Macaca fascicularis: one gene and its partner. The protein of the gene in region 1 interacts with the protein of each later gene in a pairwise test. Links are inferred from orthologs where the notes say so. Each region holds a gene or a part of one and is shown on either strand. Other genes may lie near its edges.

Region 1 (3,648 bases):
TCATGATAATTTATGTTATACCTCTCCAACCAAATTTGATCTCAAAGGAAAATGGATCGCCATTACTTTAATCCCTGAAAACAGAACATCTACTTCTTGAAAATGCCTCACATATTCTCAAAAGTGGAGAAGAGATGGGCTTTATGTAAGTACTGCCAGCTTGAAGGAAGCAAGCACAATGAGCTTTTTTTTTTTTTTTTTTTTTTAAGATGGAGTTTTGCTCTTGTTGCCCAGGCTAGAGTGCAGTGGTGCGATCTCAGCTCACGGCAACCTCCTTCTCCCAGGTTCAAGTGATTCTCCTGCCTCAGCCTCCTGAGAAGCTGGGATTACAGGCATGTGCCACCACGCCCGGCTAATTTTTTTTTTTGAGAGGGAGTTTTGTTCTTGTTGCCCAGGCTGGAGCGCAGTGGTGCGATCGCGGCTCACCGCAACCTCAACCTCCCAGGTTCAAAGGATTCTCCTGCCTCAGCCTCCTGAGTAGCTAGGATAACAGGCATGTGCCACCATGCCTGGCTAATTTTGTATTTTTAGTAGAGACGGGGTTTCTCTATGTTGGTCAGGCTGGTCTCAAACTACTGACCTCAGGTGATCTGCCCACCTCAGCCTCCCAATGTGCTGAGATTACAGGTGTGAACCACCACGCCCAGCCACACCCAGCTAATTTTGTATTTTTAGTAGAGACGGGATTTCTCCATGTTGGCCAGGCTGGTCTTGAACTCCCAACCTCAGGCGATCCACCCGCATCAGCCTCCCAAAGTGCTGGGATCACAGGTGTGAGCCACCGTGCCTGACCACAAAATGAGCTTTTAATTTTGAATATTTGCATTTACATCTGGGTTTATGAGATGGGCTTATTTATTGCCCTCAATGATCTAGGCAGGAAGACTATGGAAGAACAAGGGATAATCCAATTGAGACATTTTCTAAAAACTGTTTGCCAAAGAACTCCACTCACAATATTTTTCAAAGGCAGGAGGCAATTCAGAACTTACAAGTTGGGATAAATTTGGAAAAAAAGAATTTGAGATCTACTTAGATCATAATTTAAAAAAAATGAGTCTAATTTTGTTTCTGAGCAGCAATACAAACACACAGTGGCAAAGGGCTATAAATTTAGATTTTTCATAATCTAAGGCATGGAACACCCTTAAGAAAGTTTTCAATCAATTGCTTCATGAGTATAAAATTACAACCAGATAACATTTGTAAAATAAAGCTTAAATCACTTTTCAGTTTGAGCCTAGACAGAATGTGATACATGCATGCTAATTTTACTAGCATCTGAAAATACCAACAGGCTGACTAAAAAGGTCCTGATTAAATTAAGGCTACACTTTATTAATATTTCTCCAGGGTAAATGATAATATTTTTCCAGGGTAATGGTAACATTTTTCCAGGGTAAACTGCTTTAGAAGGGGAACTTGATTAGAAAGTTCCCACGGTAGAGCAATTGTTTGGGTGCCTTCAGCTCATACTGGATCACGCTGGACTGAGGTCCATTGGCAGTGAGGAAATTCTGCAACATCTCTGAAGCCCAAATCTCCTTTGACACCATCCTTAGAAGGGATGGAACATAGAAGTCACTATCATGGTTCTTATTCCCACGCCCTGCTAATTTTCAGTCTCCTGCCTCTGTAGGTTACACACTGCAAAAGCAATCTTAGTATATCCATGTCTTCAAAAAACCAGGGTCACTTCTTCTAACTTCTTTTTATCAGTTCTTAGGTAGAAGTAGAACTTTAAAATCATTGCTAGAATCATATCAGCTTGAAAGTGCACTGACTGCCTTTGTGGATCCCCCAGTCGCTTAACAAAGACTAATGCTTTGTTCATTAGTGTCTTCAGTCCCTGCTGCTCTGCTCAGACATGTTGGCTCTATATGAATTCCTGAGAACTATATCACATTGATCAGTACTACCCAATCCCCTTCCCCATTCCATGAACAAGACCTTTAATCCAGAAATGTAGAAATAGATGAAATACTGCTTCATATTGATTTGTATTATACTGATTCAGATAATACTGTCAATCAAATAATGCTTATCTAAACATAGCTCTATATGATAAAAAATCAATATAAAAAGAACATGTTTTACCTAAAGAATAGTATGCTAGTCTTCAGCTCCAACACTGACAAAAGAAAATATTCCTATTAGATTTGTTAAGTGGTCTTTATGCAATTGCCAGTGGTTTTGGAAAGAATATTTAAATAAGGCACATCTACCACTCAAAACAAAAAGAAGTTTTCATCAGCTACTTCATGACTATGAGAGTTGCTTCTTCACACTCATGAATCAGAATGATTGAAAACTCACTGAGGTCATGCAAACCCAAGAAGTGTTTCTCTGGTGTTATTCTGGAGGCCTGAATGAACTGTGATGTGACATTGTAGCTCAAAGGTAAAAAAAAGTCAGTGGGATAGAATTATCTTTTCCTTGATAGGCCACGGTCCCACGGTCCCCAGTTTAGAGGGCAGTGCCAATTCCTTTAGGCTGTTCTGCTTAATGTCTCAGGATGTCATGTGTCTCTACTCCCCCAAATCTGTATTTAATAATAATGAAAAGATGTAGTATCAGAGTACACTTGGGATCGAGGGTGTCTGACTTCCCCAGGCTAGGCCTTAACTGCTCCACTTCCTGCTCATTTTGTGCTGGTGAGGGTACAAAGGGAGTGCTAATAAGTACCTTATTTATTGGCCTGCTGTCCTAGACATCACTGATAACTGGTATAAATATGGTATAAAAATTGATGTTTCTTAAAAGAAATGATTTTGGTTTAAATGTATGTGTTTGAAAATCATGGCACACCCTCCATATAAACAACTTTGAGTGTTCGCTGGTGACATCTGAGTAAAAAGGATTTAGGGTATGGCTATGGGTGAGGTACATGTGTATATGTGAGGTATATGTATGTAAAGAAATGAGTGAGAAAATAATGCTTAGGGAAAAAGGGAAGTTAGTGTCATCTGGAGGCATTTAGAACCTATAGTATTTGGCATTACAACAAAGGAAACTTGGCATAAAAGATTAACCATAATATAAGTATCTATAAATATAGCTAAATTTAAGACGATTAATATTTGCCATATACAATAAAGTATGGGGTTAGCTTTTTTAAATTTATTTTTTAATTATACCAACCTTTGTGTCTTTTCCAAAGACCTTGGAATGAAAACAAATCCAGTTTTCTGATACAAAGAGCTTTCCTTGGTATAGTATTTCTTTCTGTAGAGCACAGGTAAAGCCTGGGAGAATACACACAGGTACAGCATCATTTAGAATTTCCATTTAAAATAAAAACCATGTATATATTTTGGTGACTCAAGGATGGGCAGAGAATTCATTCATACTCAAAAGTTTTATTGCCTCTTCTTCTGTCATCTTTATGGAAAGCAAGCTGTGGCGACCAGTTTGTTTTTAAATTCAAAGTCTTACCAACTTCAGTATAAATATCAGAATGAAAAGGCAAATCTACTATTGTACCTGAGAGACCAAGAATGGCGTTTTACAAGTCTCCTCTATCATGTGCTGGTATTAGTACACCTGTTCCCCTTTTCCCCAGTATTTTCACTAATGACTGTTTTCGAAATAGATGGCCTCACTAGAGGAAGAGCACATAGCCCACACTTTCTGTCTGAAGGTCATGGC
Region 2 (4,098 bases), on another chromosome or scaffold:
ACTCACCTGCTCACTCTCTGAGGTCACCGAGGTCAGGTGTGAATTCCTGGACACACAGAACTGCTGGGCACTATACCAGGTCTTTGTGACGAGAGAAAAGTAATAGAAGTTCCCCTTGAAGTACTTCCAGCCTTGAGAAACCACCTGTAGAATGTCATCTAGAGAACAAGAGGTAAAAGTGAATACTGGTATTCTTGATTTCTTGGGGTGCTGGCTTGGTGGGGGCACTTGAATGAGGTCTCAGAGACAGCAGCAAATGGAGCTGTGCTCTGGTGTCCTTGGCTCCTTGTGTAGGGGATTTGGGACACTCTTTCAAATCCTGAAAGTCAGACAGAGACTAATAGAGTGTTTGGGACTGGAGAGGTTAGAATGCAAGAGGATGGACAAAGAGTGTCTTTCCCATGAGGGGAAGCAACCCTCCATCGGCCATGACAAGTGGCTGAGCCCCTGGACTCTAGAAAGGAACTTGATGAGAAATGACTAGGTATGGGCCAGGGTGGACAGCCCCTAATGCTTTTACATTCTGCACTTTGGTGTGGGAACTCTAGCTGGACCCTGGTCTCTTTTCTCCTAACCGCGCCTAAGTCCTTCCCAACCTCAAGCCCTCCCTCCTTAACTTCCTAGTCCATGGCTGCCCCTCTCTTCCCCCCGGCCTCCTCCCTAACCCACCAGCCCAGTGACCTCAGGTCTGGGACAGGTAAGATCTCATGGGCCGCTGGTCGGCTTCAATGTAATTTTCTGAGTCACTTACTTTGTCGTTTGAGCAACTTGCTCATATTGTCCAAGCTGCCCTGGAGTGCCCGGATCTTTGTATTCAAAGCACTGGCTTTCTCCAAATCACTTTTTAACTCTGGGATTTGGGCATTTAAGGTACCGACTTCTTCCCAACTTCTTGTTAAGATCTGGATCTGTGCGTTGGCCTTCTCCACACTGGTTTTTAACTTCAGGAACTGAGAACGCACATAACCCAGGCTCACATTCACCGTCTGGATCTGAACGCCAGCTGCCTCCATGCCATCGCTATTCTTTTTAATTTCAGAATCCAAGGTGCTGATGTTGTCCACACGACCTTTCAGCAACTGGACATTGGTCTTTACATCTGATATGTTGCCCATAAACCGGGGATCTGGGATTGAGAAAGTCAGGAGGTCAGCTGAGGGGAGCCCCAGGGACAGGAGTGGGGCTGTTGTCAGGTCGATCAAAGGAAGGGAAGAGAAGGAACAGGCTGAAGCTTCCCAAAGAACCAGGACAGTCCAATGGGCCACCCCAACCCTCCAATCATTCATTAAGATACAACAAATGTGCAATGGGCACCTACCATGTGCTAGGAACACAGGTGGATACAGACAATGGGGAGATGGATGAAACACAGGCTCTCTGTGAGAAAATTTCACAGGCAAGCAGAAGCAGGGGTTAGAAACCAGTCCTGAAATTTCTCTGAGTGTTCATGGAACATTTGATAAAGGGGTGCCCTCCATGAGCCCCATCACTCTCCCCAGAACTTGATTCCCCCTGGACCCCACCCCTTGGTTGCCATCCCTCTGCTTTCAGAAACCCCTGCAGTGGCTGTCTGCTAGGACAGCACCACTCCCTCACATCTGTCCATGGGCCCCTCTGTGACCATGGGAAGAGCCAGCCACTAATCTGGAAGTGGCTTCTTCTCCAGAGAACATGGAAAAGGAGATTACAAAACTGTTTCTCCCCTTCCCTTGCCCTACCCACTTTCACATTCTGCTCAGGTCCCAGGCCTGGGTACCAGAGATAGGATCAAAGATAAACCAAGAGGCTCAAAGGCGAGCCCTGAGGAAAATGCCATGCTAGAGGCCAGGGGTCTAGGATGGGGGAAGGGGGACTCTGCTCAGAGCCTACAAGTCTAAGACCAAGTATGTCCCGAGGCCACAGAGGGAGAAAACCAAACCCAACAGCTTCTCGGGTCCCCTTGCTCCGCTTGCTGGAGCCCTGGCAGGAGGAAGAAGGCTCTGCCAGCAGCAAAGGGCATGAAGCCTGACAGAGCCAGAAGAGGAAGAAAGATAAACCCCGCAACACCAAATGAGTAGGAAGGCTCCCTAGACATGATTTTTGCAGGGACAGGAGAATGAAGAGAGCACGAACGGGTCCTGTTGAGGGGACTGAGTCATGGAGATCTGTTGGCTTGTTGGTCAGGCTCTCCATCTGGTGAGTTGGGGCCAATGACACATGAGGCTTAGTCCTTCACAGGGTCAGGAGACATTGCACTGTCAGGGACTGTCCACAAGGCTCCAAATCCAAGGAGCAGAGCTCAGATTGGTGGGGGATGGAGGGAGAGAAAATAGCACAGCATGAAAAACTAGATAAATGTTTCCTGAGGACAAAAGAATGTATCCTTGAGCACCAATGTGCAAATGCTGATCCCAATAATCTCCCAGAAATTGGGAGGGAAAGAGCATCAGCTCACCGTACTGGGGGCGGCACACCCTGTTACTGCACATGGAAAGAGGAGAAAGGAGACAAATGAAAGTCGGAGGCAGGAGAAACCTGGAGAGCAGGGAAGTGGTCTGGATCTGGAGGGAGCCAGCTGGCCACAGAGAGGGGCTAAGCCCAGACGATGAAACATGAGGACTTACAAAGGACGGCCTGCAGCAGGATGGAGGCGACCAGGACCAGCGTCAGGCAGATTAATGCAGCACGGACTGTGGGTGTTTTCCCCGGGAACAGAGATGGACCAGACTTGGGAGGAGGCTCTGTTGGAAAAAGAAGAAAATGTGTGTTGAAGGAGTAGCAAAGGGCAGGTTTGCACACAGAACACGGAGCAGGTTCTCAGCAGTGACTGTGGCTTGCCTCGGGGCCAGAGGGAGATGTTCTGTTTGTCCACAGTGAAGTGTGCATCAGGGACCTCCCTCTCGGCCGTCATCCTGAGTGCTCACCCTTACCCTGGAAGCACAAGTGCTTCTGGCTGCCTGTCTCTCCAAGGGCTCTTATCTAGAGGAAACAGGAAGTCAGTCCCACACTAGGTCACCATATCATCCCAACTTCCCTATTCCTGACTAGATACCTTGTCTGGCTTACTCCCCTCCTCAGAAGTCTGAGCTTTCAGAAAGAGGCCATCTGTTGTCTTCTCTGGGAGTCTGTTACATAGATACATTAACCATCTTGTCCCAAAGCTATCCCATTTCTCTTGTAAGATTCTCTTCACCCATCCACCCATCCATTCACCCCACAAATACGGACTGAGTGCCTTCTAGGTACCGATGCTGTACCAGGCATAGGGCCACAGCGATGAATAACTCACAGTCCTTGCACCAAGCAGCTCACAGTCTGGTGGGAAAGACAGACATGAGCAAATAAATTGCACAAGAGACAGATGTGCCCAGTTGAAAGAAGCGTGTGAAATGGAATAATGGAAAAAAAACTGCAGTAGAAAGATAAGCATATGCCAAAGGATGGAGCTTAAGATAGCATGGAGTGCTTGGCAAACTGAAAATAGTGGCAATATTGCTGGAACATAAAATATACACAAAAATGTGAGGAAGGGGGCTCACATAGGGTGGAAGAGGCACCTGGGGTCTGATTATGAAGATCCTTCTGATCATGTCAAGGAGCTTCACCTCTAGCTCGTGGGTGACATGAGGCCAATTAAGGACTTCAGGCAGGAGAGAGACAAGGACAGGGACACTGTAAAAACATCACTCTGATCGTGGTGAGGAGCACAGACTGGTTGGGGGAAGCCAGGAAGCAACCATTGCAATAGAATATTCTGCTTCCTGTTATTAGCGCATCTTGGCTGATACAATATTCCTTTATAATATGCAACTTGGAGATTCAAAATGTAAACCTAAGACTTGAGTTCTCCTCCCTGCTTCCTGTAGCATGTGAGCTTTTCAAACAAAGTAGGGGTGCTCAGCAACGTCAGACTAGGAATCTTTCTGTTTCTCTCTCCTCTCTCTCTGTCCACAACTTCCTCTCTCCTTGCTTGTAACCCTGAATAGAGAGTTCCATATGTGCAAGAAGCTCAGGGCACAGAGGAGCCTATTTGGAGCTCAGTGAAGGACTACATTTTCTCCTGGGTGACTTCTCATGCTTTGAAGAAGTCTGCCAAATCTGAGAAATTTGGCACATGGC

The links.
Region 2: the proteins of GRAMD2B (region 1) and CD207 interact in binary tests that used the Homo sapiens proteins (3 or more experiments, as listed by UniProt). The two-hybrid records come from large-scale screens. The link is inferred for Macaca fascicularis from reciprocal best matches to the Homo sapiens genes GRAMD2B and CD207.

Annotation. Positions count from the first base shown.
Region 1 is NC_088380.1:133,032,182-133,035,829, reverse strand, and holds part of GRAMD2B (GRAM domain-containing protein 2B), read right to left. Parts: intron 3,246-3,648; coding exon 3,142-3,245; intron 1-3,141.
Region 2 is NC_088387.1:51,060,480-51,064,577, reverse strand, and holds the start of CD207 (C-type lectin domain family 4 member K), read right to left. Parts: upstream 2,891-4,098; coding exon 2,818-2,890; intron 2,721-2,817; coding exon 2,604-2,720; intron 1,127-2,603; coding exon 752-1,126; intron 159-751; coding exon 7-158; intron 1-6. UniProt on the Homo sapiens protein: Calcium-dependent lectin displaying mannose-binding specificity. Induces the formation of Birbeck granules (BGs); is a potent regulator of membrane superimposition and zippering.